Linked DNA regions of Pelodiscus sinensis. The protein of the gene in region 1 interacts with the protein of each later gene in a pairwise test. Links are inferred from orthologs where the notes say so. Each region holds a gene or a part of one and is shown in the gene's direction. Other genes may lie near its edges.

The links.
Region 2: the proteins of UBE2U (region 1) and TRIM32 interact in binary tests that used the Homo sapiens proteins (3 or more experiments, as listed by UniProt). The link is inferred for Pelodiscus sinensis from reciprocal best matches to the Homo sapiens genes UBE2U and TRIM32.
Region 3: the proteins of UBE2U (region 1) and RNF144B interact in a two-hybrid assay, tested with the Homo sapiens proteins (2 studies listed by BioGRID and IntAct). The link is inferred for Pelodiscus sinensis from reciprocal best matches to the Homo sapiens genes UBE2U and RNF144B.

Annotation. Positions count from the first base shown.
Region 1 is NC_134719.1:17,547,360-17,557,631, forward strand, and holds the start of UBE2U (ubiquitin-conjugating enzyme E2 U), read left to right. Parts: upstream 1-6,020; 5' UTR 6,021-8,179; coding exon 8,180-8,245; intron 8,246-10,040; coding exon 10,041-10,122; intron 10,123-10,272. UniProt on the Homo sapiens protein: Catalyzes the covalent attachment of ubiquitin to other proteins.
Region 2 is NC_134732.1:6,516,735-6,527,080, forward strand, and holds the start of TRIM32 (E3 ubiquitin-protein ligase TRIM32), read left to right. Parts: upstream 1-5,627; 5' UTR 5,628-5,738; intron 5,739-6,070; exon of another isoform or gene 6,071-6,803; intron 6,804-9,206; exon of another isoform or gene 9,207-9,273; intron 9,274-9,700; exon of another isoform or gene 9,701-9,812; intron 9,813-10,346. UniProt on the Homo sapiens protein: E3 ubiquitin ligase that plays a role in various biological processes including neural stem cell differentiation, innate immunity, inflammatory resonse and autophagy.
Region 3 is NC_134712.1:105,603,200-105,614,232, reverse strand, and holds the start of RNF144B (E3 ubiquitin-protein ligase RNF144B), read left to right. Parts: upstream 1-6,119; 5' UTR 6,120-6,701; intron 6,702-11,033.

The DNA of each region.
Region 1 (10,272 bases):
TGTGAATTAAAGTTAACTTTTCGCTTAGAAATATGACATTTGTATTATTACTGAAATTCATTCAGGTATAATCAATCTAGATTGATCATTTTGAAACCACTTTGATGATTTACAAAATAACTATGTACATTACATCTTTTCACAGACTTGGCTTATATTAAAATAATATCTTTTGTGTCCACACAATGAAAATAATCCGTTGCTCAGTTTGACGATATTGTATAGTATGACTTTATTTTCACATCTTTTTGCACAAAAGTGTTTTGTATAGAAGAAGTGAAATACATCTCTGCATTTTATATACTGGTCTATTTCTTTTTTGTTTTTAACCTGCTGTAGATGTTCTTGAAATATATTATGGTGATATTCAGCCACTACCTTATACATACATTTTATTTTTATTTGTTTTCACTGCATGCATTTAATCACTGTATTATTTGATGATTGATTTATTAATTAATTAAGGGCATTTCAATTAGGCATGAAAATGTAATACCAAAGGCTATTTTATACTGATGATATGTGCATTTTTGTATTTCACACACCAGAGATAATATTAAACACCGATTATTTTATGCTGCTGTTTATTAAAACATTGTTTTAATATAAAAATCGGTATTTCCTGAATCTTGGTATAATAATTGCAAATCCTAATATTATGAAAGGCCACATCCTGCTCATCTTACTCAAGCAAGGAATATTAAAAGTCAGAACACCTCATTACCTAAGTAAGACAAGCATGATTTTGCATATAATATTTTATGATAATTGAGGGATAAATATACAGATCTTTAAACTTTAAAAGCTGGCCATGCAGATGTTTTGGGAAGATACTAAAAAGACAGCAATAATAAAACTAGACTGCAAAACTAGTGCATTCTGTGCTATTCTCTGTAGGGTAAGTTCAACCCCGGAACAGAAGTCCAGAGTACCATTTAAGCTCATTGTTAAGATCTGTAGTGAGACTTCAGTGCCACATACGTGCAAATGCTCTGAACCCTGTGTACATGTATGGCCCAGATATTCAAAGGTATTTTAGCACCTAATTCCCATTGATCTCATTGGGAGCTTGGCACCTAAATACCTTTTGAGAATCTGAGCATATGTGTTCAACAAGAATCCCATTAATGAATGCTTTTAAGACCATGTCTTCAGTACTATATATATACTGAGCCCACAAAGCTGACATGTCATTTCCAGGTTAATAGCATTCAGATCTGGAATTTTAATTAGGATTTTTGCTGTATTTAAGGGAAAGTTTCATTTTTGGAGACAAAAATCAATCACTAATTACATCTATACTAAACTTCCCTCTGACTGACGGATTACAAACCCTAAGGCTGTGTCTAAATTGGCATCCCTTTCCGGAAAAGGGATGCTAATGAGACACTTCGGAATTGCAAATCCGCAGGGGATTTAAATACCCCCCGCGGCATTTGCATTTACATGGCTGCCGCTTTTTTCCGGCTCGGGTTTTTTGCCGGAGAAAAGCGCCAGCGTAGACGCGATTTTCCGGAAAATAAGCCCTTTTCCAGAAGATCCCGTATTCCTACTTGGAATAAATAAGAACACAAACTGTGACTTAAATAAAGCAACCTTTGTATTTTGGCTGGCTCATGGCTCTCCATGTAAAAAACATGCTTGAAAAGTGATACCAAGATTCTTAATTTTGCTTATTCTCCTGAAAGCATTCGTTTGATAAGAGCATGATAAAACCAAGAGCATCCTCATAACCCCTTCCACCTATTGTACAAGTACTACTAGATTCATTGGTTCAAGAAGAAAGTAATGTCCATGTGACAAGAGAAAGCACCTAATTAACTAGATCTATCACAAGTGGCATAGGTCTATCATGCATTTGACATTTACCACAGCAGGATAAATCCAGATACACCTTAGTTGCTAAAACAACCACTAAAAGTAATCAGAAACTACTGTGAAGTCAGGCATAAACCACACACAAGCAAAAATGTACAAATGTTAATGCTGCAGATTCTTAGCACCCCATAAACATATTGCTTGCTTAGGTGCCTGCGGATAAAAGTGTTTAGCTTTAGACATGCCAGTTTGAAAATGTGCCTACTGGAGCAGCAATGGCAGACTTGAAAAAAAATCTTTCGGATACTTTTTTGGTTTTGCATAGAAATACATTAACTCTAACCCCTGCCCACTCACAATTATAAGTAGGTTAGGGGTATGTCTACACTACCACCCTAGTTCAAACTAGGGTGGTTAATGTAGGCAACCGGAGTTGCAAATGAAGCCCGGGATTTGAATTTCCCGGGCTTCATTTGCATATTGCCGGGCGCCGCCATTTTTAAATGTCTGCTAGTTTGGACTCCATGCCCGCGGCTACACGCAGCACGAACTAGGTAGTTCGGATTAGGCTTCCTACTCCGAACTACCGGTACACCTCGTAGGAAGCCTAATCCGAACTACCTAGTTCGTGCTGCGTGTAACTGCGGGCACGGAGTCCGAACTAGCAGACATTTAAAAATGGCGGCTCCCGGCAATATGCAAATGAAGCCCGGGAAATTCAAATCCCGGGCTTCATTTGCAACTCTGGTTGCCTACATTAACCACCCTAGTTCGAACTAGGGTGGTAGTGTAGACATACCCTTATTTTCTTTACTTAAAAGCTATCCACAACAGAGATCTGTCAAAAAATCATATATGCTTTCAGCTGTTAAAAATATAAGATGTGCTTTGAGCAAAAAGCCTATAAAGCCTCAGGGAGAACATTTTTCCCCCTCAGTGAATGAAGTTTGTGACTTCTGGGACTCAACTTCTCAGCTTGACTCAAAGCATTGCAGTGAGTTAATGAATGCTAAAAGAGAAAGGCAAGAATTCTCTTGGGTGCTAAAAAAAAACCTACTAAAATAAAATTGGATAATGTGAAAAATAAACTGCCAAAAGGTATCAGAATGTTGGTAATTCCTGTCTGAGTTGAAATTCAAGAACCAAATATTATTGTGCATCATAGACAAAGGCAGAGAAAATTTTACAGACTTTCTAATGGTCAAATCAGAATAGCAACTTCCTTCAAAGAACTATTGTAGTTGTTTGTGAATCTCTGGGATTTTGGAAATAAAACTCTTAAGAACTGCGACATGAGAGTACAAGATACGATTTGTTCATTCTGGCTTCTCATCCTTCCCAAATTGCCTTATCCTTACATAAGACCAAACTGCATGTCAAAATGGTAGTTAGCAATACTGTGTCCTCTACAAATAAGGATAATTATTACGGTGGGTTGGTACAGACTCAGAACTGCAGATGTAGCAAAGAATTATTCCACAAAAATGGGGTTGGAAGACTTGGATATACCAGAACTGCTAACTGAGTATTCCAGGGCCTGAGATATTTAACAGAAAACCAAAGAAGACTCCGTTAATGCTATGCATGACTGAAGTTGTACAAGAGTTTATAGGTTTAGAATATTCCCTACTAAATTTGCTAGTTGTTTCATTATTCTGTTCCCTTTGGACATCGAGAGAATTTTTGAAAGCTCACCTAACTGAAAATAATGAAAATGCTTTTTATCTGTTCATACTTCAGTGCTGTTAGAAATACAGTTATATTGGTCATTTGGGATCCAACACTGCAAGATGTTGAGTTCCCTCAACTTCCATTGAATCCAGTGGGCCTTGGAGGCCTCTCGTACTTCATAGGAGATATGTGTCCCTTTGCAAGATTAGGCTCTATGGCTATGTCTACACTGGCCACAATTTCCGGAAAAGCCATGCAAATCAGGTAAGTCAGGATAGGGAAATCCGCGGGGGATTTAAATATCCCCTGCGGATTTAAATAAACATGTCCGCTGCTTTTTTCCCGGCTTGGGGAATAGCCGGAAAAAAAGTGTCTAGACTGGCTTCAAAGTAGGAATAAGAGATCCTCCGGAAAAGGGCTTTATTCTGGAGAATCGCGCCAGTCTAGACGCTTTTTTTCCGGCTTTTCCCCAAGCCGGAAAAAAAGCGGCGGACATGTTTATTTAAATCCACGGGGGATATTTAAATCCCCTGCAGATTTCCCTATCCTGACTTACCTGATTTGCATGGCTTTTCCGGAAATTGTGGCCAGTGTAGACGTAGCCTATATGTTTGAGAGTCTTGAAGGCAACTCTGCCTCCTCACAGAACCTGTGAGGACAATTTCTGGGAAAGATTGCGTCTGTGCCAGGCCTACTCAAAGTGTGAGGTGTTCTGACATAGCTATCACTTTACATGCCATCATCTAAAAGATCTGCTCTACGAATTAAGTTGGGGAAATTCTATAGCCTGCTGAATTGATCTGAATTGATCACAATGGTCCCTTCTGGCTTTGGAAATCTGCAAATAACCTGAGAAACATATTGATAGATTAATATGGGTAAGAAACCTTTGTCGTGCTGGCTGCACACAGTTCACCAGGGTCAGCCCCTGGCAGGCCACCAGAAACTTTATTTACATGAACATGATCTGCAGGCAGCGCTGCTCACAGTTCCCCGTCGCCTGGCCTGCGCTGCTTCCTGCAACTCCCAAATGACCAGGAACAGTGAACCGTGGCCACTGGGAGCTGCGAGTGGTGGTGTCTACGGACGCTGGTTGAGGTCAACAAAGCATCTGGCGACCCACCAGTGGCTAACCCTGGTGAACCACATCTGGCCCAGCAGCCAGAGATCCCCTACCCCTGAATTAACAGTTTGTACATGATACTTAGATTTCAATAATAATTTATGCATGTGCTACAAGTGCAAAATGGGAGGGTGGAAATCTGCATATGGCCCACAGGCTAATCCTGAGAGAAGGACTCTCTTGCAAGAAGACAGTTTTCTTGATGATCTCTTCATGACTTGATTCAAAACCCAGTGAAGTCAATGGGAATTTTTCCCTTACAGGAAGTATTTAGTGTTTTTCACACCCCAGGTGAGAGCTGGTTCTCAGATCCTTATGAATGGAAAATATAATTTTGTAAGAATGTCTGTGCAAAGAGTCCTGTTATGTATACTGGGATTTATAACAGAACTGGTTTAAAATTTGTACAAAGAGAAATTAAATAGTTGTTCAAAGAGGATAAGCTATTCGTTAGCTCCAGGATGGTTAAGAAAATAATTAGTTGAACATATTTTTTATTTGCCACTAAAAACAAAATCATTTTAACTGAACTTCATAATTTTTTACCAGAAAATATTTTACTTAATGTATGAATTCAGCAAGTCCCTGCCATGCTCGGGGGGGCAAAAGGGACAGAACAGAAGACAGTCTGTGGCAAACCAGCAGAGCTGGGTTTCTGTGTGGTTTGAGTAGGAGTGTGGAAGGCATAGGAGGGCCGCATTGTTCCCAACACAAAACCACTAGATGTGTTACAAAAAAAAGGCATATAACTAAATGAAAGCACTCTGAGCAACCTTCTTGTTCTAGCAGCTCTGACTGCTGATACTGGCATCTTTAGCCAGCGTCTTAATTCCTCGTTGAGCAAACACCAGCAAGCATGATTGTGGGTGCAGAGCTACTGATAGATGGTACATACACTTACACCTTTGTCCTCTTGTTTTCTCTACATATCCTCTGGTTGCTCTGGAACAGATTGAAGCACTGCAATGCATATGCTGATGATATAACTTTGGGTACACTGGTTATCTGAATAAATGCGATAAATCAATCTCTGTGCACTCTCCCGTTGATGCTGGTACTCCACCAGGTTGAGAAGAGTAGGTAGGCAGTATTGATAGGAGAGCAGTCCCCACTGACTTTACCACACACAAGACGCTGCAGTAAGTATTAAGGATGTTAAGTATTGGGTAATTGACTCATTGAATAGTCAATGCATTTTTGCATTGACTATTTGATTAGTCGATAGAGCGCCTCCTCCTTTGAAGTGTAGCAACAGCCCAAGGGAATCCCTTATCCTGTTCGTTTATCCCTATTCCCTAGGGCTGTTGCTACACTTCAAAGGTGAAAGCGCCACATGGAGCCCGGGTAAAGGTGGGGACTCACTCACCCTGGACTCCGTGCGGTGCTGCCGCTTTGATACACGGTGGCAGAGTTTCAAAGCAGCAGCGCCTCATGGAGCCTGGGGTCAGCTGGGCAGTCCCCAGCTGATTCCGGGCTCCACTCAACACTGCCGCTTTGAAATACCGCACAGAGCCCAGGGTCAGCTGGGGAATCCCCAGCAGATCTGGGCTCCCCAGTGTTTCAAAGCGGCAGCGTACATGGAACTCGGGATCAGCTGAGGAGTCAGCAGCGGTGCTGCTGCTTTGAAGATCTCTTCTCTTCCCCTTGCTTGCCTCTAGCTAGTAGAGGCAGCAAATGGGGGGAAGTGACTAGTCGACTATCCTGTTGACTCTCCAATAAGCATTTGCTTATCAGATAGTCGACTAGTCTTTCACATCCCTAGTAAGTATGTTGACTTCGGTACTTGCATAGCTGAAGTCATGTAAATCAGATTGATGATGAGGGCTAGTGTAGAATAAGTCTTAACGACACTCCTAGCTTTTAGACGTTATCTCTGGGATTCTTATTGTCCTCCTACTCTGGATACAAAAACTAGATTCAATTCCAATAATATGGAAACAAAACAGCCAAATTATTTTATGATATTTCACATGCAGAACACTGGTTAACCCAGAAGGTTTTGTAATCTTGGGGATTCCCAACTTGCACAACTTTTTTCTAGAAATAGCCTCATTCCACTCAATGTCAATAGGACTTTCCTCATTTGAGTAAAGGGTGTAGAACTGGGCCGTTAGCAAGCTATCACCAAACATGATGCTAATTCTCCATTTTTAACTAAGGAAGGATTATCTTTCTCCCAAAGCATTATGGGTATTAATGAATTTTAAAAAGTGAAGATAAATTAAACTTAGCTATAGCAGATTCTGGCCATGTGTCAGAAGAATTATTTTGTGTGATCAGACGGCTGCTCTATTAATCCCTGTCGTGCCAGAGCTTTTGCAGAACAAGAGGCTGTGTTGCAATGCAGTTAAACTTTGGGAGTCAGGCAAAAGCAATTGTATTCTGAGCTCTGCCCTGATTTAGTAGATGACCTTGGCAAAGCTGTTGGCCCTCTCCCTCTGCGGACATTGATACCTACCCTGATTAAGGTGCGTTGAGATGTGAGGGGGGAAATGGCTCTGTCACTGTTATTGATACTTGCAGATTTTTAGTGTCGCCTTCCCTCTGGCAATGATAGGTTTGCTCTGTGAGCATGACAGATTTTAAACATCCTCATTTTTTAAACTCTTCCCCATCCCCATTGACCCAGAAACATGGGCCTGAGGAATTTGGGAATAAGATAATCAGACCTGGCATGCCAAAGGATTAAATTTCATGATAATTATGTGTGAGCTGGTGGAGTTGTAACCCGAGTGTTATTTATAAATAGGGTGCATGTAATTCTTATCCTATAAAAATCCCCAATCTTTAAAACTCATTATGACACTTCAAAAACAAACAAAAAGACTGGGGCAGAGCCAGCAGCCCTTTGCCCAGGCAATTCTCAGTGTGGGAATGGAAGGGGCCATAAAGGCATCTGCCTAAGTTCAAGTTCAGCCTCTAATGTCAAGGCTTGGCCTTCACCTCTGGATTCATGGCTTGGCCTGGAGGGTTTGCCTCTAGTGTCCTGTCAGCTGCAGCCATGGGGAATTGCCTATTTAAGTGCTGGGTGAAAGGCCACTTCTGATTGGAGGCAAGCTGATTAATGATCTAAGACCTCCTGTGATTGGCTGGGAAGGGAACACAGCCATAGCCTTATCAGCTGAGCAAACCAAGGAGTCTGTTGCTGGGTAACACTGTACACAGAGTCCAACTTATTCCTTGTGCCCTGGGCTGAGGAGGCTCCCAGCTGCCCTGGCTCTCCTTTACTTCCTATAGCCACTCTCCAACCATATAAGAACACTCCATGGATCAGGAATAAGCTTCTGAGCTGGGTTTGTTTAGCCTCTGCTAGTAAGCATTCACCAGCTCTGCGTGGGGCTTTTAGTTCTGACTGACCTATTTAGATTTCAGCTCAAGGGCCATCAGCCTCTTTAAACGCCAGGCGAACCCTTTAGAAATGATGTGTACAAGCCACTAACTGCAGTGGCAGGAATTAGAGGGGGAGGATTTACTGTCCTTTTGCAAGACGACAGCCTCTGTGAAGCAAGAACAATATTGCAAAGGAAGGGGCGAGAGAAAGCGTCCTGCGTGAGTTCTATTATTGCTATGCACTCCCGCGCTTACTTGTTGTTGGAAAGAGAGTATCTGGAGTATAAAGAAGCCAATATTTTTGTGAGTAGTATCTTTATTCATTTTCAATAGCTGAGCCGGGGGATAACCAATTAACATACAACTGACATCTTTCTTACATCCTCAGCCTGGCTTTCCCCCTTTTTGTATTAGCATCCCTTCCCGCACGCTTTCTCAACCAAAGAATTAAAACTGCAAAATTATGTACTGAGTATGTACCTAGAGTCTTGGGCAGCATTGCACTTGGGCAGCCAGCTAGTCCCACCCACTGCACCACTGCAGCTGCATTTTTATTTTTAACAAAGTAGCCTGATCAGATATGGCTAGTAGAGCTAGTAGACCTTTCAGCTCCAGTGTAGAGCTATAATTTTTGGATGATGGTGGTTGGGTTTTGGGAAGCAAATGGGTTGAGTTATTTTAATCCTGCTATCTTTAATTTTCAAAGTTAATTCCACAGATCATCAGGCTTAATTTAATGAAATAGAACTCAACTTGGTTTCATAGTAGTGGACCTTTATTCTTTGGGTATTTCACCAGTGAACAGCTGAAGTGTGATAAGAATCCAACTGGAATCCCCATAGGAATTGCAATCCCCATAAGTAGGCAAAAATCCCACTGACGTGGTTATCTTCACATTGATTTTTAAGTGCTTTTATTGGTGCTTCTCCAGAGGAGAACCCTTACGGGAACATTGCAAAGGAATTTTGGTGACCGAGTCAGTATGGCAAGTGAGCTACTCAACAAAAATGTAAAACAAAATATTTGTGTGGACTGGCTGGCTCTGGCACTGATGATTAATATGTATGGTCATTTGCCTTTAAGTAGACAATTCAAATCTAGTGCTAGTTGCTGATGCCTGGCAATGATCTCTTCATAAAAATATCGTCTACTATAGCAATATGCTGTATTCCCTTCCCCAAAGCCAAGTTAAAAAGGACCGTGGCTACATGAAATATAAATGCTTACTTTGTTGTTAGATTTGATAACAATCCTTCATGTTTATATATAATACTAGAAGACTTACCTGGCATTGCCCAAGTCTGTCAAGGCAGGCAGCTGGCTGGCACTGTGGGCAGTGGAGGAGTCAGGGCAGAGCCTTGCAAGAGGCTGGGGGCAAGGTGTATGTGCAAGAGTAAGGGTTGGAGGGAGGGAGGGGCTCAGGGCGGAGGATCCCATGCAGCATGGGCCTTTTTTTGTCGTCATCCCCCAAACCAACCCCCCTCAGCCACCAGGGGCCTTTTTTCTCCCCCCATGTCAGTTCTCCAACAAAGGCCCGGGAAGGGGGGAAAGGGTTTGGGGCAGGGAGGCTACTTACCTGGTGTGCTGGCAGGCAGGAGCCCCAGTCCTGTTGGCAACCCCCTTGGAAGCACAGCTGCCCCAGTGGACACACTGCAGGAAAGCTCTTCTCTGCGGGCTCACTGCCCCCAGTGACTACTCTCATTATCGTGTCCCTCCAAATAGCCCCGCCCTTTCTGTGTCGTGGAAAACAGTCTCTTTCCCAGCACTTCCAATTGTCCTAGCGCAACCAACCACTGACCTTGCTTTAGGTTAGGATAAGAGGAAGCTGCATACCAAATTTAGTGGTCCTAGTTCTTACCATTTAGGAGGCGTTCTTGAACAAACAGACTCACGAACAAACAGACTCACAGACAAACACATAGACAGACACACAGATACACACATTTTCATGAATCCAAATGTCTCAAAGTGCTTTAGAAATATGAATTAACTAATTTTCATAATTCTTAATTTTAACTAACAAGGTAAGCAAGTTTTTAAGGGAACATTGCAAGTTCTTCACATTCCACACTGTACCTTCTTTTTGTGCCTTTTTTAGGGAATCTTTGCTACTCCGATAAAGGATAATTTGCTGGAATGGCTAGTCGAAGTCCAGGGATTAAAGGATTCTCTCTGGGAAGGTAGCAAAGATTTTTACCATGCCCTTTGATTTTATAGGTGTTGTGTGTTATCCTTCCATCCTGCTGGATATTTTTAAAAATGATGCTGTGAACTGTTTTAAGAAAGCATAAAGAACTTGACTAGCTTTTCATTATTAGCTGCATATAATG
Region 2 (10,346 bases), on another chromosome or scaffold:
TCCCCCCCGCCCCTGCACTCAGCAGCAGTAGCAGGGGAAGAAGAGCAAGATCGACCAGCTGCTTTGCTCCTCTGGCTGCCACATTGCTCCACTTCCTGCAGGGGGTGCAGGGGAGTCCTGCCTGCCCCCTCGCCTTGAGTGGTGCTGTGGGGTCACCTTGCTCCAGTTCTTCCCACCACTTCCGGTAAGTGCAGGGGGGCTGGACCCCTCCCGTGGAAACCAGCCTCCTCCCCCACTAGTCCTGCTGCTTGCTGGTCGGCCCCTCCTGCCCACAGTGTTTGGGGCCTCTTGTGCCTCCCCACACACGTCACCACTACATTTAATTATGTTGTATGCAGTGCTGTGGCAGTCATGGTCCCGGGATATTAGAGGGAGAAGGGGGGCGGGGGATTGGGTGGGCTGGCAGCAGCAGAAAGTGTCAGGGAATGGTGAGAGGGTACAGTGTAGGGCAGGGATGCTGGGGCCAGCTGTTTAAACAGTTTTCATTACAGAACCATAGACATGGAGGGCCGGATGGAATCTTGGGAAGCCCTCAAGGCCAGCTTCCTCTACTTTGGCAGGCCCAAGTAAATCTACATCTTCCCTAACAAATTTGTCCAGCCTGTTTTTAAAAACCTCCAATGCCGGGGATTACACAGTCTTCCTTGCAAGACTATTCCAGAGCTAGCAACTGACAGTTTTTCTTAATATCAAACCTAAATCTCTTTTGTTCTCTATGGAGCAGTGATCATGGAGGAGTATTGATCTCTGTCTTCTTTATAACAGCCCTTAACATACTGTCAAATTACCAGGTTTCCCTTCCCTTAAAATTAAACATGCCCAGTGTTTTTAACCTTTCCTCGTGGGACAAGTTTTCTGACTCTTTATTGTTTTTGTTGCTCTCTGGACTCTGATTTGTCTACATCTTCCCTAACAGGTGCTGCCCAGAACTGGACACAGTTCCAGCTGAGGTCTCACCAGTGCAGAGGACACCAGAACAATTACCTCCCATTTCTTACCTAGGACTCCTGTGTTACCTACACGAGCGTTCGCAGTAACCTGAGCATGTGGACAGCCACCCAGGAGTGATTCAGGTGCCATCCAGCTGATTGGCAGAGCACTCACAGCTGGCAGCATGTGTTTCTATTGGTGCACATAAAATTTATTACACCCATGGATGGAAAAAAATTAGTGGGAACATTGACCTATACCCCAGAATATTATACATTTTTTTCACAGCTGCACATAATCCAGATCTTTTTTAGAAGAACTCCCAACTTGTCCCTCTCATCAACAGAAGTTGGTGACTGCCAACCAGCGCTTCCTGCAAGCTGTGCACTTGTGCAGCTGCTCAGGAGACGTTTAAACGCCACCCAGCTGATTAGCAAAACGTCCGCAGCAAAGTTTTTGTTTCTACTGATGACGCACGTGCTTTGGTGCACACAGAAAATGTATTCTGCACAAGGATGGAAAAGATTAGAGAAAACATAGAATAATACTAACCACAGCACTGATTTCTTTAGAACTACTCCACTAGACCTGCCCTTCCAGTTAGATTGACCTGCCCTAGTATTGACTACACAGGAACTTAGATGAGCCTATGCCATTTAACTGTGTGGATTTTTCACATCCTTGATTAACCTAATTTTCTAATGTAGTCACTCCTAATACAGTGGTTCTCAAACAGTGATCAGTGATAGAAATGTAGCCATGTTAGTCTGGTTTAGCTGAAACAAAAAACAGGACTGTGTAGCACTTTAAAGACTAACAAGATGGTTTATTAGGTGATGAGCTTTCATGGGCCAGACCCACTTCCTCAGATCAAATAGTGGAAGAAAATTGTCACAACCATATATACCAAAGGATGAAAAGGACAAATCAAATTTCAGAACAGAAGGAGGATGGGGGCGGGCGGGGGGAGGAAAGGTAGACAGTTACCTCCCCCCCCCCCCCACCATCCTCCTTCTGTTCTGAAATTTGATTTGTCCTTTTCATATGTGTTCATTTTTTTTAATTGTATCATTTGGTATACAGGCAGTCCCCGAGTTACGCGGATCCGACTTATGTCGGATCCGTACTTACGAACGGAGCTTTTCTTGCCCCGGAGGATGCGGGCAGAGGGACCGCCCAGATGCGCCGAGGTCCCGCCGCCCGCATCCTCTGGGGCGAGAAAAGCTGCTCTGCGTCTCCCTGGTCTCCTGGGGGGGTCCCCCAGCAGACCAGTGAGACGCGGCGCAAAGCCACGGAGGGCCCGGGCGGCAGGACTGCGGCGTATCTGTGCGGTCCCGCCGCCCAGGCCCTCTGCGGCTTTGCTCCGCGTCTCCCTGGTCTGCTGGGCCCCCTCCAAGCAGACCAGGGAGACGCGGAGCAAAGCCGTGGAGGACCCAGGCGGCGGCACATCTCGGTCCTGCCGCCCGCGTCTCCATGATCTGCTGGGGGGGGGGGGCGCAGCTAGTGCACCCCCCCCCCCCCCAGCAAACCAGGCTTTTCTCGTGGACACCTGTGGTAGAGCAGCTGGGGCGCTGCCGATTGGTCCCGCAGCGCCGCTCCTCAGCACTACTGGACCAACCCGACAGCACCCCAGCTGCTCTGCCCCAGGAGTCCTGATTCAGCCGCTTCTGATCAGTTTCAGCAGCGGCTGAATCAGGACGCCTGGGGCAGAGCAGCTCGGGTGCTGCTGGGTTGGTCCAGTAGCGTCGAGGAGTGGCGCTACTGGACCAACCCAGCAGCACCCCAGCTGCTCTGCTCCAGGCGTCCCCAAGTCAGCTGCTGCTGAAACTGACCAGCGGCTGACTACAGGAAGCCCGAGGCAGAGTTTCTCTGCCCTGGGCTTCCTGGAATCAGCCGCTGATCAGTTGCAGCAGCAGCTGACTTGGGGACACCTGGGGTAGAGCACCTGGGGTGCTGCCGGGTTGGTCCCCGCAGCGCTGAGGTGCGGCGCTGCAGAGATCTACCCGGCTGCGCCCCAGCTGCTCTGTCCCAGGCGTCCAGATTCAGCTACTGTTGAAACTGATCAGCGGCTGATTCCAGGAAGCCCGGGGCAGAGAAACTCTGCCTCGGGCTTCCTGTAATCAGCCGCTGGTCAGTTTCAGCAGCGGCTGAATCTGGACGCCAGTTCTGACTTAAGTACAAATTCGACTTAAGTACAAACCTACAGTCCCTATCTTGTACGTAACCCGGGGACTGCCTGTATATGGTTGTGACAATTTTCTTCCACTATTTGATCTGAGGAAGTGGGTCTGGCCCACGAAAGCTCATCACCTAATAAACCATCTTGTTAGTCTTTAAAGTGCTATATAGTCCTGTTTAGGGATCAGTGAAACATTGTTGGTTTGTGAAGCATTTACTAATGACTCAGAAAGCTACCTGGCCACATGATTCTGTCTACTCTCTTTAGGTATGTCTACACTGCAAACAAAAATAACATAGCAATGAAGACAAAGCACCCTGGATTTTAACTCATATTAGCAGTTTGAGTTCAGTCCCAAACTTTAACTCAAGCTGCTAACCCAAATGAAAAGCAAAGTTACCAAGTCTGTCCTACTTTAACCCAAGTTAAGAACACACTTTTTTTGGGGGGAGGGCAGTGTAGACACACTCTAAAACCCCCATGGCCTGAATGGTGGTAAAAGAAATGAAACTCTCAAGCTATGTCTACGCTGCCATTGTTTTGCACAACAAATATGCAAATGAGGAGAAGCGTGGAATATCTCCATAAGCAATAGTAGTCACCAGAGAGATGTTGGGAAAGAGCAAAGGGAGAGTGAAGCCGCTTGCATGCGGTGAAAGAGAAGTGAGAACTAAGGATGTTAAGGACTTAGCCTTTGCTTATCGAATAGTCTGTCGAATAGTCAACTAGTCAGTTCCCTCCCTCCTTTGCTGCCTCTAGGAGATAGAGGCTGCAAAGGGGTGAGGGGAGGAAGGCAGCGTTTCAAAGGGGCAGCCACCAAACAGTTGATCCACAGCTCAGCTGTGTGGTACTGCCCCGTCAAAACGCCAAAGCACCGTGGAGCCCAGGGCCAGCTGGGGAGTCCCTAGTTGCCCCTGGGCTCCATGGCTGCCCCTTTGAAACATGGAGGCAGCATTTCAAAGGGGCAGCCACCGCACAGCTGATCCCAGGCTCTGCTGTGTGGCGTTGCCACTTTGAAATGCCCAGGCATCCCTGCTGGGGATTCTTGTACATTTCAAAGCAGGCATTGGTGTGCGGCCTGGAGTCAGTGGGACTTCCCGCTGGCCCCAGGCTGCACTCCGAGTTCTGCATTCCTCCTTTGAAATGTACAAGAGCCCCTGCTGGGAAATTCCATCGACTACTCGACTAGTCAATTAACCGCAATTTGACATCCTTACTGTGAACTACTTCTCGGAAAACAGGCAATGGAAAGTCTTGAGAACCCCAAGTCTGGGGCATCCAATCATACATATGTTTGTCTAACTAGTCTGAGTCACTTTTTCTTGGGCCCCATCCATCCCTGAGAATTGCCCCAACTCAGTTGTGAATGTCCTGCAATTAGAGCAGTGGTAGCTAATCTTTTTAAGCACAAGATCACTTTTTGAATTTAAGTGCAATGTAAGATCTACCCCAAATCCAAACACCCTTGCCCAGCTTCCTTTGTGCCCCTTCTCCCAGACCCGGCTCCTGCTCACTCCACCCTCCCTTCCTCCCCATTCTCCCTCCCTTTCACGAGGCAGAGGCAGAGGGTTGGGGCACAGGCTTTGGTCTTGGGGTAAGGGATCTAGAGTGTGAGGGGGCTCTGAGCTGAGCCTGGGGCAGAGAGTTGGGGGGCAGGGGTGGGTTCAAGGTACAGGCGCTGTAAGGGAGTTTGAGTCCAGGGATCTCAGGGCTAGGGGTATAGGAGGGGGTTCATGACCAGTGCAGGGGTTTGGAACTGGCTCCAGCTGGACACTGCTTATCTCAGATGGCTCTTGGATGGTGATGCAGTGGGGGTAAGGCAGGCTCAGCCCTGCCCTGGCCCTGCATCACTCTCAAAAGCAGCCAGCAAACTCCCTCCATCCCAAGCTCCCCCCCCCCCCCCCTTCTGTGGAGAGAGAGAGCACAGGGTGGAAGAAGGGGCACCCTGCTCAGTGCCCCCTCCTCTCCGTTCCCTGCTCTGTACCGCATGCAGGAGGCTCCAGAGGTGGGGGGGGGGGGGGGGGGGCTCCAAGGCAACAGGCAGGAGATGGGCAGCAGGGGGGAGGGGGCAGCTGACTTGCTGCGCTTGCCAGGCTCTTGGCCGAACCTGTCACAGGCTCCGAGATCTACCGGCTGGTGCCTGAACTGAGCAAAGCCCCACGGGCGGGGGGGGGGGGGGGGGGGGGGGGAGCAGAGACTCCTCCTCCAGGCACCGGGGGGGGGGGGGACAACGAGGCAGGTGCCTCCAAAATGCAAACCGGGGACGGGGGCACCGGGCCCCCAACCCAAACCCGGGAAGGGCGGGGGGGGGGAGGGGGCAGCCCCCCAGACACGCGAATCTGGGCGTTTGCCTGGAGGCAGCGCGGGCCCCCGACACACCCTGGGGCGGCGCGAGGGAGAGCTCTGCAGGCACAGCCGGGGCGGCGGGGGAGCCCCTCCCCAACACAACCCGGGGGGGGGGCTATCCCGAGCCAGCTGCCCCGCTCTAGCTCCGGCTCCATCCCCGCCGCGGAGCCGGAACTACCACTCCCAGCATGCTCCGGGCCGGCGCGGACGGGCGGGGGAGGCGCCGAGCGCGCGGAGCAGGCTGGGAGGGGCGGCGGCAGGAGCAGCAGGCCAGGCCGGGCAGGTAGGGCTGGGCCGCGCCTCTTCCGCCGGGCTCGCGGCGGTTCCCTTTGGGGGGGGGGGGGCTGCGGGGGTAAAGAGCTCGCGGGGGGCGGGGCGCCAAGGCTCGCGGGGGGGGGGGGTAACGGCCCCCAGGGGCAGGCACAGAGAGGGGGAGGGGTTGCGCCCCCTGGCCGGGGGGGGTCCCCCGGGCGGGGTTTGGGGGGTACCTGGCCCCCGGGAAGCCCGCGCTGAAAGGGGGGGCAGGGCCTTGGGGAGCAGAAAGATGGGGGAGGCCAGATCCATTGGGGGGTGCAGAGCTGGGCACCCCGGGGACAGGCTGGGGTGGTTCGGGGCCAAGCCCCCCCCCCCATAACGAACATAAGTCAGGTGTCCCTGTCAAAGGCTGGAGACCAGACTGGCCTTTGCGGCACGAGGGCCCTGCTCCCCTCCGGCGGGGGCCAGCCCCGGGGCAGAGGGAGGCAAGGGCAAGGTGGGCTCTGGGCGGGAGCAGAAGCAGAGAGTAAGAACCAAATGGAAACATGAAAGATGGCAAAGGAATGGACGTAGCCCTGCTCCCTGCTGACTAGCTCCTAGTCTGCATCTGAACGGTAGAGCAGCTGTGTTACTGGCCGGCATAGGTAATCCCATTGATTTACCAGCTGCCTCTCAGCAACCTGCAATGGAAAAGTCCCATCACTGTTATTTGGGGCAGCACTACAATTTTGTCCCGCTAATACGTATAGTGTGGTGCAGTGTTTCCCAATTTTATTTGGTCATGGAACCCTTTTCAGCTTACAAGAATTTCATGGAACCGCTAGGGTTGCCAGGGTAAAATTTGTCAAGCCAAAAAAAAAAAAAAACCCTGCAAAATAGACTCTGTTGCTTTAAGAAGGGACGGGGGAGAGCTGCATTTTCACGGAACCCTTACTTTTGCTTCGCAGAACCCCAGAGTTCCGTGGAGCATCAATTGGGAAACACTGGTAGTATGGAGAGACCCAGCATACATGGCTAACAATGGGTATCAAGCTCTATTGACACTGTCTACACCTAGAGGGCAAACATTTTTTATCCAAGTTGAGGGAGAAGGGTAGGTTTACGTAACGTAGGTTTACGTAACTCCTTTTGTCAATTAGGGTTTGTTGTTCTAGGAGTGGTCTGTGCTTAAAAGTTAGGTCAATATACCTTCATCTGGCAAGGTATAAAATCCACTTTCCTGAGGGACATAACTATGGTGACCTAACCCTCAAGGTAGATACAACTGTGAATGGAAGTACGCTTCCATCAATCTAGCTTCTTCACAAACAATAATCCCAACTATACATATAAAATGATGGTGACTAATTTAGCTGTTACCACTTGGAGTTGTGGATAAATCTCTGAAAATGTCCATTCAATGTGCAGCAGCAGTCAAAAAAGCAAACAGTGTTAGGAACCATTAAAAAAGGGATAGAGAATAAGGCAGAGAATATTTTATTGTATCTGTATAAATCCATGGTACGTCTACATCTTGAATACTGTGTGCAGATATGGTCGCCTCATCTCAAAAAAAGATAACTTGGCATTAGAAAAAATTCAGAAAAACGCAAAAAATGATTAAGGGTATGGGACAGCTACCATATGAGAAGAGACTCATCAGACTGGAGCTTTTCAGCTTGGAAAAGAGACAACTAAGGGGGGATATGATAGAGGTCTATAAAAACATGACTGGTGTAGAGAAAGTAAACCACTTGTTCCCAGAAGTGATCCAAGGCCAGGTGCGGCAGCTGGCGCCCCAGGCGGGCGGCGCCCCATGACATCATCACTGAGCGCCTGGGCCAGCAGCGCTCTAGGCAACTGCCTAGTTCACCTAGGCTCATGGGCTGCCCCTGCTTGTTCCCATAACACGAGCTGTGTCTAGACTGGCAACTTTTTCCGCAAAATCATCTGCTTTTGTGGAAAAACTTGCCAACTGTCTACACTGGCTGCTTGAATTTCCACAAAAGCACTGACGATCTCATGTAAGATTGTCAGTGCTTTTGCGGAAATACTATGCTGCTCCCGTTCGGGCAAAAGTCTTTTTCCGAAAAACTTTTGCGCAGAAGGGCCAGTGTAGACAGCAGAGATTTGTTTTCTGCGAAAATGGCGACCGGGGCTTTTTTGCGGAAAAGCGCATCTAGATTGGCCATGGACGCTTTTCTGTAAAAAGTGCTTTTGCGGAAAAGCGTCCTGCCAATCTAGACGCGTTTTTCCGAAAATGCTTTTAACGGAAAACTTTTCCGTTAAAAGCATTTCTGGAAAATCATGCCAGTGTAGACGTAGCCCTTTAAGAAGTATTTCTTCAGACAATGCACAGTCAACCTGTGGAACTCTTTGCCAGAGGATGTTATGAAGACCAGGACTTTAACAGAGTTAAAAAAAGAAATAGATAAATTCATTGAGAATAAGTCCATCAATAGCTATTAGCTAGGATGGGCAGGAATGGTGTCAGAAGCTGGGAATGGACAACAGGAGGTAGATCACTTGATGATAACCTGTTCGGTTCTGTGGCTCCTGAAGACAGGACACTGGGCTAAGTGGGCCTTTGGTATGACCCAGTATGGCTGTTCTTATGGTTATGCTGGCACAGCTACAGTGATGTAGCTATCTATTCCAATAGTTTCAGTAGGATAGAGAGACCCTCATGTAGATAAAGCCAAAGACAACTAGATCTCTGTAAGATTTCCAGGGTCAGCGCAGGACTATAGCATTTCCTTTGTGCCATATTACATAAAGCTCCTGGGAGAGGCTGGACACTTTGAGAAGAGAGTATGGACAATCCTATAATTTTTTTAGCGTGAATGCTGAGCAGTTACAAGCTGGATTTTAGATATCTGTTCATTAATAAATTGTTGCTTTATTGCAGCGGACGTGTGGATGATAGCTTCATTTTGAAGGCCTTTCCTAACACTTTTGATCCTCTCCTCTCCCCCCTCCCCCCAAAAAAAAAAAGTTAGCCCGCCAGCAGGTGTCATTCTTGTATTTAAAGTTCCATGCCATGGTCTTGTTAGCAGGCAGCTTTACTGTGTTTACATATGGCTTTAATTGCATCAGTAGTTAATTTGATTTGTGATTATTCCCATGTTAACAAAGCTCCTTGTTTAATGAATTTATCTTCTGCTGCAGAAGGCATGTCATTCCTAAGCAGACTGTTGTACCCAAATTTCAAATCAAACTTAAGGAATTTGTACATGGCTGTGCAAGTGTCTGAGGGCATTCACTTGAGATATTCTCCACTGTGTGTTCATCAACCCACACTGGACATATTTGTGTTTGCAAAGCTATACTTAACAGTCCCCAGGGCACTTCCATTTCACTCAGAACTAATATTTGCTTAATAAAAATGTTAATCAATTGACAGAAAACAAACTCAGAGGCATGTGTGGGACTTGGCTTCTTGGAAGATAAACATTCTAATTTTCTTTTTATAGCAAATACTCTCTTGTGATCACATTGTATGTTTCTAATCCCACAGGGCCAATTTGAAAAATCCTGCAGTGTTTCTAGCAGCTGTATATTTACTATTATCACACATACCAAAGGTTAGTGTAAATAAAACAAAGGCAGGAAAATTCTGAGTTATAGAGATGTTGTCAGATCAAATTTTGCCCCAAATTTAGGTATTGTACGAGTAAGCTTGCCCCAAGCAAAAGACCAATAAAAATATTATTAGGATTAGTATTCTTCCAGTGGAATATTTTCTTAATGTTGTTGCAGTGTTTGTAGCTTGATTTTTCATCTTTATCCTTGTACCAGCATCTAATTGTAAAGTTGACTATAAAACAAAAGTGAATCTAACTACTTTAGTTTCTTAGTGCATGCTAACAGAAACAAACATAAAAGAATAGTACCAAATAGGGCAAAGTTATATATTGTAAACATTTTAACTGTAATCTAAAGAAATCACATGTATATTTCTAACTTGACCCTTGCCTAAGGCTTTCTCTGATTTTAACCCCTTGTGCTTAGGGAACTGTCTGAACTACAGAAGAGCACTTGTTAACTGGAAACCTCTGCTAAGGATGCAATTACAGTGGCTGCTGAATTGTTTTTCTTCAGTGAGACCCATTCTGATAAACAGGTGGTTTTGTGATTTATATTTTGTATTCAAATCACAATTAGTTTGGCTTCCTAATATATGACCCACTTCAAAACAAATAGCAGTTTATTCTTAATGAATAGATCTCTCTTGCTCTCTGTTTTGTTTTTTTATAGGTGGCCAGTGTCTCTTGGCATCTGCTCCTAGCCTTCTCTCTCCAAAGAAAAGCCTGACATATTATTAAGGAGAACCCATAAAGACAATAGGCTTTGCACTGCAGATTTATCATTGTTTTTCACTACTTTGGGGAACTATTCTGGCCTGGCTGTTGAGCATTGCTTTCTGTTCCCATCACTTTTATGTATATTAAGGATAAGGACAATTCTTCTGTTTCAGTGCTAGCAGCAGAAGCTGCTGGATAACAAATCTTAATTTCTGGAGACTGAAATTCTTTAGTGTAACCCAAGTTATAGGGCTACAAGGCAATTAGGAAGTGTAAGGATATAAAAGGCTAACCAGTTACCTAGCATGCTTACCCGGGGTAACTGGTTAACCAGTGCCCAGCATGGTATAGTG
Region 3 (11,033 bases), on another chromosome or scaffold:
GCTTCCTGGTCCTCCCCGCCACCTGCATTCTAGGACATATGGGAGAGGAGGATATGGAACTTGGTGAGGAGGGCAGATGGTTTTGCATGGGTGCAGGGAAGCTGTGTGCTCCAGTTGCTTTTCCTGCACCTCTACCAGGTGCTTAATTAGCTCTGTTTGTTCCCCTCCATGAGCCTCAACATCTCATCCTGTGCCTTATGTTCATGTTCCCTGCAAGCTTTCCTGTCCTCCTGTTCGGTGCAGATGACCTCTAACAGCGTTCTCATCTATGCATTCAGTAGTGTTCTATCAGTGCAGGCAGATTGCATGAGCTCGTTAAATATTTTGTCCCATGGTTTTTTTATTTTCCCACTTTCTAGTCTGTGAGGGTATGTCTTCACTAGTCCCCTAGTTCGATCTAGAGAGGCTAATGTAGGCATTCAAAGTTGCAAATGAAGCCAGGGATATTTAAATATCCCGGGCTTTATTTGCATCTTCCCGTCTGGGCGCCATTTTTAAATCCCCTTAGTCCGAACTAACTGCCCGCGGCTACACGTGGCAGTCAAGCGTTAACTCAAAGTAAGGACTTAGTTCGAGTTAACGTTTGACTGCCGTGTGTAGCCGCAGGCAATTAGTTCGGACTAAGGGGATTTAAAAATGGCGCTTAGACGGGAAGATGCAAATAAAGCCCGGGATATTTAAATATCCCGGGCTTCATTTGCAACTTCGAATGCCTACATTAGCTTCCCTAGTTAGAACTAGGGGGCTAGTGTAGACATACCCTGAAAGCCTAACTACTGGAGAAGCAGGGGCAAGTAACAGACTGATGGTTCCAACTGTATTAGGGAAATAAAAAGGTAAACCTGAATGAAGCAGTTTATAACACAAAGGACATGTTAAACTTAAAAAACAACAAATAGTCTGGTAGCACTTTAAAGAATAACAAAACATGTATATGGTATTATGAGGTTTTGTGGGCACAGCCCACTTCTTCAGATGACCCCCTGAAACAAAGTACGTGTTATGTACTAGGTTGAATTATGCATTTTAAATTGAGTGCCTACCAGTAAAGTATAACATATGGGAGTGTGCTGGGCAGTTGAACTCTTTGCAGACAGGCATGGTAAGCAACTCGTGAGGAGGGCTATTTTGTTTCTGCTTTGAAAACATGGAAAAGGGTGCTTGCAAACTACAGTCCTCATTCATGCTTTTGTGTTTGCAAGGGGGAGGAGGGAATTGGAAGGGGCCCCCTCCGCTTCTAGACTGCAATGATTTGGAGATTCAAGGGCTCATAGAGCGTAGTTGCCAACCCCTCCTACGCAGCTGTTCTCCGGGATGATCTCTGGAGCCCATTGCAAACAGGACAGCAAACCTGGGTAATAATTTGTTGGGGATGAACAAACAGAGGTGGATTGCCTCAGTACCTATCAATTACAGAGCTTCCACCATTTCACCCAGGTCACCATGCACAATATCAGTCTTTGGGCATGTCTACACTGCAGGGCTTAACTTGAACGAAGCTACACAAATTGAGCTACGTCAATTGCATAGCTTATTTCAAAATAGCTTATTGTATTTCGAAATAGAGCACTCTTCCTCCAATTTCCCTTATTTCTCATACAATGAGGGTTACAGGAGTTGGAGTAAGAAATCCTCCAGCTTGACAGTATTTTGACACTATTTTGAAATGACTACTGCTGTGTAGATGCAGACTAAGTTATTTCGGAATAATGCTAGTTATTTTGAAACAATGTTGCAGTGTAGACGTACCCTTAGAGAGCACAATGAGGAGTGGATGCTGAATAAATGTGGCCAGAAACCTGGAGCTTATGCTGCTATGCTTTGTGCTGCAATGATGCTAGGTCACTTACTGCTGGTTTGGTATAAAAAGATGTAGGAATGTTAATGATTAACTAGTTAACCAGTATTCCTCACTCTTAACAGGTGAGGTTTACCAGTTATGGTTAACCAGTGAGGGTCTGGAGCAGTCCCCCACCCAGCAAGGGCAGGAGGCTGCTCCAACCCCACAGGGCCTGCCATAGGCAGGATTGTTACAGCTCAACCGGAGCATCCCTGGTTCATGGTGGAGTTGGGGGTAACTCCCGGCATGCTTCAGGCAGAGGTACTTCAGCCCAGCTGGAGCAGCCCCTCTGCCCACCCTGTATACTCAATTAACTGGTTAACCTTAACATTTAACCGGTTAATGAATGAAAGAGGATTTTACTTCCCTAGAAAGGTGTCCTCCCCTGGAGGATGGAATAAGGCAGCCCTTTCCTGAAACCTGACAAAGATTGTAGAGTACCTCGATCACAGCAGGGAGGATTCCCATTCCATCTCCAGATATGCTAACAAACTTTTCTGGGAAACTCTCAATGTATAGGTGGCCTGGCCACCACTGTACCCCAATTGTTCAGGGCAAATCAAAGATTAATCCCAATTACATTTAATCACTGTAGTCTGATTGTATATGTGAACTCGCCAGAAATACCTTCCTCTCCACCAGGGTCTGAGAACAATAAATAGGTCCTGGGAGGGAATTGGCTCCAAAGTTAGAAAAAGGTCCTGCCTGTTGGTGAGATCAGATCCTCTGCTTCTCTACTAAATATTCTCCTCCTCTTTCTCATCTCCAATATACTTTTTGTTGTTGCCTGAGGCTGTCTGAAGAGTCTCTTGGGAGGTATCTATGGACAGTTTTGAGACAGTGGTTGGGTCTTCCCCTAGAATCTCATGCAGCTGCTCATATAAGTGGCATGTCTGAGTTTGTCTCCTTTGTCTTCTGGTACACTTGCCTGAGCTCCTTTTTGGTCATGCAGCTCTACTGGCAGCAGGGCCGGCTTTAGGAAGTGCGGGGCCCAATTCAAACGATTTTGACAGGGCCCCACAGCAATTTTGGTTGAGCAAAAGAAAAAAAAAGCATACAAAAAATCCCCCACCAACACACACACACCCTCCCACAGCACAGGAAAACCCTGCACTAAACTCATACCTCCTGCGGCCGATGCACTCCTCCCCTGGGGCCAGCAGGGGTGGCAGATTTGTATAAGTTTTGGTGGTGCCCCATTAACCACACCCCCTGACCGCTGTTAACCACACACCGACCCCCATTAGCCACACCCCCTCTGGAGGCCTCTGGAGGTAACACATTCAGGGCAAGATGGACACATGACCAGAAGTAAAAGGTGTCATGTCACCCCTCTCGAAGGAAATTCCCACCATCCTCCTACCAATAGGGTTTAGTGTGGCCCCCACCAAACCCCCTTCATGCAACTATCTTGCAATTGCATTAACTCAATGTGTGTGATGTTAACTCGGGGGCAGAGAGCCGGGGGGAAGTGTTCCCTCTAAGGTTATGTCTACACTCATGGCTTCTTGTGCAAGTACAGCCATTCTTGCGCAAGAACCCACAGAGCATCCACGCTGCCCGCCTGCTCTTGTGCAAGGAAATTTACAGTACGGCGTGGTAAGAGACGGTGTCTTGCGCTACGCTCTTTTCTAACAGATGTAAGCTCTCTTGCGCAAGAGGGTAGTGAGGATGCTCGGCAGGGATTTCTTGTGCAAGAAACCCCTATGGCTAAAATGGCCATTGGAGCTTTCTTGCGCAAGAGAGCGTCCATACTGCCATGGATGCTCTTGCGCAAAATCACAGCTTGCACATGGCAGTGTGGACATGTTCTTGCACAAGAACCCTTGGATAAGATATTCTTGCGCAAAAAGCTGCTAGTGTAGATATAACCTAAGAGTTTCCTCCCATGAGCAGAATGGATTTTGTGTTGTGTACCTGTACTGAGTTCATGTGGCTTGTTTGGATGTGCCACTGTGGTACCCAAGTTATTAATAAATATTTTATAAACCTTTGCCTTTTCTCTCTGCTGCCATGTCTCCTCCCCTTGCTCCATCAGCTCCCCTGGTGCCTGCTGCCCTCCAACTCCTCACCCTCCTCTGCTGTCCTGACTCCTGCCCTTCTCACTGCCTTGAGCCCTCCTGCGACCTGCCTCCCTCCACCAGCCCTTCTCTTCCCCCCCCCGTGCCCAATCCTCCAGTAGCCCCACTCTGATCATGTGAGCTACCCGTCTTCATCCCCTCTGCTAACACCTCCCTCTACACACCTGCCCTGCCTCTCTTCTCTGGTGCTGGTCCCTTCCCTGCAGGTGTCTGCCCTTCTGCTCCACCCCAAAACCCCCTGGCACCTGCACCTTCCCTTAGCCCTGCTCCCTCCTGGTGCCTCCTCCTTCCCTTACTGCCTGTGCCCCTTTGCCCTCTTTTTCCCTGATGCCCACCCACTCAGCACTCTCTGCCCCCGTTCTCCTCCTGCCCCTGTGCCCTCACACATGCTTTGCTCCATCATCCCTACCTTCCTCATGCCCACCTCTTCTTTCAAGCCTTCTCCCAGCCGCACACGGCAGGGACGGTCGGGGTTAATGCCTGTAAGTGCTGTTAAATGCTGAAAAACTGTAAAGCCTCATATATATAAATATTAGAACTATATACAGCGTTTAAACCTAAATATCATGTAACCGTTGCCAAAATAGAAGTTTAAACATAAAAAGATAGGTTGACTTAAGTAACACAAATAATTTGCAAAATGTTAGAAAAAGGAAATTATTGAAACACTAAGCAGTTACTTTATACCATGGAAAATCAACACTTACTTAATCTAATAACTTAATCTAATTTGGATGGTACCAGAAAGTGGCTATATATGAAATATAATTGACTTGTGTAGTATAAAATAAATTTCAATCTGTTACCCAGGAACTCAGTAACAAGAATAAATTTACAACTAAGATCTGTGGAATTTTGTTCCTGACACCAGAAGAACAGGTTCCCCGACACTGTATCTATCACCAGTGGATAATTGCTCAATAAAAACACAACTCAGGTATAAATTTCACAAATCTATTAAAGAATTTGGAACAGTCACTTTGAATGACTCTGGGGAGTAGTTAATTCAAAAGAACAGCAGTGGAGTGTCCGCTATTTCAAAATAGCTATTTTGAAGTTATCATTATTCCTCGTGGAAATCAGGAATAGTTATTTCGAAATAACCAGTCCCTTATTTCAAAATAAAAGTCTTGGTAGTGTGGACATTCCACACATTCCTGGTAGTGTAAACCAGGGCTCAGAGAGCTCTGCACACAGACCTCAGTACAACCCTCTTAGCATAGGTGTACACTGTGGAGCTATTTCAGGATACTAGAAGTATCCTGAAATAGCTATTCCACATCTATTGAATCAGCCTGTTATTTCGAAATAGATTTTGAAATAATGGGCATTTCGGAATAGCGAGTTATTTTGAAATACTCTTGAAATAAGCTGTGCAATTTGCGTAATGCAAATTGGGTAACTTATTTCAAGCTAAGGATGCTGTGTAGATGCACCCCCATATAATGCAGAGCAGTGAAATTATTCTGAATCCCTCTGTTTGCTGCAAAGATCTGGGTGATGTGGATATGGTTGAGCAATTGGTTTCTAGATCTGCATTGTTCAACACAGAGGATCAAATTCTGTTCTCAGGTGCATTGGTGCAATATCATTGCAAACAATGAGGTTCAGTTAATCAACTATGTTAGGAGCAAAATGTGCCCCCAATGAGTGTTCAACCAGTTGGTAGCCCCTTGTTACCTTTGGCATAGTTTTTGTAATGAATATAGCATGTTTGTATGTGTGAGTCACTTGTACCAACATTATATAACCTATATTTAAGATAAAGAGACACTGTCAATTTACATTTCCCCCTTCATTTAGGGTTATTTGCCCTGATTCTGCAGACCTTTATTAACAAATATTAAACCTTTAGATTTTCTTACATAATAATAATAATAATAATAATAAAAAAAAATAAAGTCTTTATTAACATCAATAACAAAGTTTTATTATTATTATGCAATCAACCTATTCAGCATGAGAGTTATTACACTAACTGTAATTCAAAGTGAAAGCCGTTTTGATTCTCATTGTCCAAAATTAAAAAAGATAAATTAAATAAACAGTGTAAGGAGGGACATTTTGGATTTTGAAAGGTCTTTAGCATTTAAAATCAAAGGTATGATCATGGTTTGTTGACAACAGGCGATTTAAATGGACTTTGTCCAGAATAGACGAGTCTTTTCTTTTCAGAGTGAGCCTCTTTCTTTCTGCTGTGCTCGCCATCAAACATTCAGTGGCTGTGGGAATCCTCAGGCACCGACCCCTGGTTTCTGTACTGTATTCATGAAATGTAAAAATGAATTTGCCCTTTGTAAGGGAGGAGGAGGCGGTGCTTTCAGACACACACCGCGTGTATGAATTGCTATGAGCAGCAGACCTTGGCGGTTGTGTATCCCTTCCCCTGGCACCCCAGATGTGGGTCCTCCAGCCGCCCATCCCAGCTCTTTTTGTCAGCCGAGATCCTGGACGTGCTGCTGCTAAAATCCTCCTTAGGGGAGAAGGAAAGGAGCTGAGTTGGAGAATGATAGAGAGAAAGAAGTGAACCGGGTAGAGGAGTAAGCAAGTGGAGGGAGAGGGAAGAGCATCTGCAAAAGAGACGTTTTTCTTTTATTTCTTTTTTTTTTCTTTTTCTTACCTGAAGCAGGCTGTTGTCAGTTCACTGTCTCAGCAGCTGCTGTTAAGCGCCGAAGAAACTATTGCAATTGCAAGCTTAACAGGAGCTGGGCTAAGGAAGAAATAGCTCCAGAGCTTAAAACTTCATGCCATGCCCTAACCGCTGGGGGAGAGGAACAAAGGTAAGCAACTGGGGGTTACCCCTATGCAGCTGGACATTTTGATGTAATCTACACCTTTACATGGGCTTTTCCAGAGCTGCTGCTGTCTGCGAAGCTCCCTTTTGCAGCATGTCAGCTTCACACGGCATCGGAAGACATTGCATTCATACTTGCGGTGAAGTGAGTTCGTGTGGCGGAGGGGTGCCTAGAGGCTCGTTGCTGTTACACCACTGGCTCAGTGCTGCAGCTGCGCCCACAAGCGCTGCTTGCCTGTGGTGTCAACGTTTCCCTTATAGACCGTGGGTTGCTACTCAGCACACACACAACGTCAAGTTAGGATTTTCTCAGTGAAGTGTTTGAATATGTAGGAAGCTAGGAAAATGTCTCTCTGCCTTCTTCCCCTCAACACACAAACAGCTAACTAACTAACCCAGCCTTGTAAATGAACAGTGATTTCCCATTTTAAGAAAGGATCCTCCCCCACAGATTTCTCAGTGATTTGCGTTATTTACAAAATATGTGCCTTTACTGTGGGCTGCAGCTTGGAGATCTTTGCATAACTCTCCTCCACTCTAGGAAGTTTACCAATAAAAGATAGATTTTCCTGATTTCTCTTATGAATGCATCTATAGGCATTTTCCTTTTCAAAACCATATTCTGATTTGGAGATTTTATTCAGTTGGGAATGTTATTTTACATATTTATAATAACAAATGATAAATGTTCAGTTTTAAAATAGCTTTGATTTAAAGTCTAGTTACCTTTTGAAACATACTTAAAATGAAAATGACAGGTATTTTAAATGTGTTTTGCATGTGCACTCCATACACATTTTTCCATCCCATTGGTTGCAATGGTGATCCAATATGTGGCTTATGTATGTGCAAGAACACTCAAATCTTTGACAAGATGCTCTTTTGACTTGTTCTTCAAAACTGTCCTCACATGGTGTAAGTTTGGCCATTGTCTTGTCCTTTTTGATATATTGAATCGTAAGCAATTTCTGTGGGGCTCCTTTTTTCCTTCTTTTTGGTCCTATAGTACTGTACTGCTACAAACTTCTTTGTTGGAGAAATTATAGTTTGTCAGGCTATGTCTACACTGCAGAGTTTTTTCAGAAAAATTACCATTTTTCCGAAAAACTTCACTTATGTTCACATTGCAAGCATGTTCTTTTGAAAAAAAATCAAAAGAACAGAGGGTTTTTTCCAACATTGGTAAACCTCTTTCTACGAGGAAGAAGCCTTTTTCCGAAAGAGCTCTTTTGGAAAAAGGTGTGTGTGGATGAGGAAGAGGGAGTTCTTGTGAAAGAAGAGGAAAAAGCACAGATGCCCTGGTGGCCATTCTGTCCATAGTAATCACAGCTGAAATGTAAGATAGCGTCCATTGCTTTTTCAATGTGCTCTGGCAGTGTGAACGCTCTCTTTAGGAAGAAGTTTTTTCAGACGCTCTCTTCAGGAAAAGCTTCTTCCAAAAGAAGCCTGCAGTTTAGACATAGCCTTACTCTCTCCCAATTTGGCAAGATATCTTAAGAGGTAAGTTCCCTTCACTGTGACAACATTAAACATGTTCCCCCTTCCCCAGTACCAAACAGGGATGACACTGCGTCAAATGCTGTTAACACATATAAAGCAGGAAGAATGTTACAGTAGTGGAGTGAGTACCTCACAAATTGTATGCACAGGTATGAAGTGGCACTTGATAGTTGTCCTGGTAATGGTGCCTGTTTCAGTCCATGTGTTTTCTAATCTACTATATATTTTAGAGAGTTTGTGCATCTGTGTGTCCCCGGATTCATCTGTGAGTCTGTTTGTTCAAGAACTCCTTCTAAATGGTAAGAGTTAGGACCACCACATCTGGTATGCAGTTTCCTGTGATCATAACTTAAAGAAAGATCAGTGTTTAGTTGTACCAGGACAATGGAATTTGATTGTTTCTCGTAAAATGGAAAGGTCAGGGCCTGGTAGGAGAGACAGTTATACTGTGGAATGATCATGGGGAGTAGCCAGGGGCTAGAGATGGGGACCAGCTCAGCTATCTACTATGTATTTCAGAGAGTTTGTCTGTTTGTGTGGCTATGGTCTGTGCATCTGTCTGCCCCCCCCACCCCGCTGGGAGACATGAACTCCTCCCTCGGCTGTACTCGCTGTAACTGCAGCAGCCATGGACAGGTGCGTTTTGCCTGGCCCCAAGTTGCTGTAGTGAGAGAGGGCTGGGGCTGTCCTCTTTCCCCGGGGAAGCCTGCACACTGAACCCCTCATCCCCAGCTCCACTCCAGAACAATGATTTCAGCGAAGAAAAAATTTGAGTTAACAACCCATGTAACACTGGGCAAATCTTCTCGGTGTTCCATATTTAAAAAGTAGTGAACAGCAAGGACCAAAACATCTGTGTCAGATGACATAATTATAGGGTGACCAAACAGCAAATGTGAAAAATTGGGCTGGGGTAGAGGGTAATAGGCTTCGGTGTAAGACAAAGCTCTCAATATCAGGACTGTCTCTATAAAACTGGGACATTTGGTCACCCTACATAATTACTATGGTTCCTTTGACACCCAGAGACCCAAAAGCCATATTGGCACATTCAGCATGTAGAAGCATTCTTGTGTCTGTTTTTTCCTGAGTACTATGCAAGTCTTGGACTTCTTCAACATCTCTACTGGTGATGGACTTTGATACATCACCATTAGAAAAGCCTCTGGCAAGAAGGAGTGCTTATGCTGGGAGTGCTCTCACATTCTCAGGTGACTTTTGAACTATATAGTCACAGAAGAATTTTAAATTGGTTGTTTATTGGATGTCAAGTTTAGAACTTTTTCCATTGAGGAACAGGGCATCTGCCAGTCACCTAGTATTTGGAAGACCAAAGACAGGGTAGGCCCACTGCTTAGTGAGGAGGGAGAAGCAGTAACAGGGAACTTGGAAATGGTGGAGATGCTCAATGACTTCTTTGTTTCGGTCTTCACGAGAAGTCTGGAGGTGTGCCTAACGTAGTGAATACAAGCAGAGAGAGGGTAAGTTTAGAAGATAGGATACACAAAGAACAAGTTAAAAATCACTTAGGAAAGTTAGATGTCAGCAAGTCACCAGGTCCTGATGAAATGCATCCCAGGATACTCAAGGAGCTGATAGAGGAGGTATCTGAGCCTTTAGCTATGATCTTTGAAAAATCATGGCAGACAGGGGAGATTCCAGAAGACTGGAAAAGGGCAAATATTGTGCCCATCTATAAAAAGGGGAATAAGAACAACCCAGGAAACTACAGACCGGTCAGTTTAACGTCTGTCCCAGGGAAGATAATGGAGCAGGTAATTAAGGAAATCATATGCAAACACTTGGAAGGTAATAAAGTGATAGGGAATAGCCAGCATGAGTGTGTGAAGAACAAGTCATGCCAAACTAATGTGATAGCTTTCTTTGATAAGATAACGAGCCTTGTGGATAAGGGAGAAGCGGTGGATGTCATATACCTAGACTTTAGTAAGGCATTTGATACGGTCTTGCATGATATTCTTATTGATAAACTAGGCAAATATAACTTAGATAGGGCCACGATAAGGTGGGTGCATAATTGGCTGGATAACCATAGTCAGAGAGTTGTTGTTAACGGTTCTAAATCCTGCTGGAAAGGGATAACAAGTGGAGTTCCTCAAGGGTCTGTTTTGGGACCCGTACTGTTCAATATCTTCATCAATGATGTAGATATTGGGATAGAGAGTACGCTTATTAAGTTTTCAGATGATACCAAACTGGGTGGGGTTGCGACTTCTTTGGAGGATAGGGACATAATTCAAAATGACCTTAGCAAGTTAGAGAAATGGTCAGAGGTAAACAGGATGAGATTTAATAAAGAGAAATGCAAAGTGTTCCACTTAGGAAGGAACAATCAGTTCCATACATACAAGATGGGAAGCGACTGTCTAGGAAGGAGCATGGCGGAAAGGGATCTAGGGGTCATAGTGGACCACAAGTTGAATATGAGTCAACAGTGTGATGCTGTTGCAAAAAAAGAAAATATGATTCTAGGTTGTATCAACAGGTGTGTTGTAAGTAAAACTCGTGAAGTCATTCTGCTGCTCTACTCTGCACTAGTTAGGCCTCAGCTGGAGTACTGTGTCCAGTTCTGGGCGCCACATTTCAAGAAAGATGTGGAGAAATTGGAAAGGGTACAGAGAAGAGCGACAAGAATGATTAAAGGTTTAGAGAACATGACCTATGAAGCCAGGCTTCATGAACTGGGCTTGTTTAGTTTGGAAAAAAGAAGATTAAGGGGGGACATGATAGCGGTTTTCAAATATCTAAAAGGGTGTCACAAGGAGGAAGGAGAAAATTTGTTCCTCTTGGTTTCTGA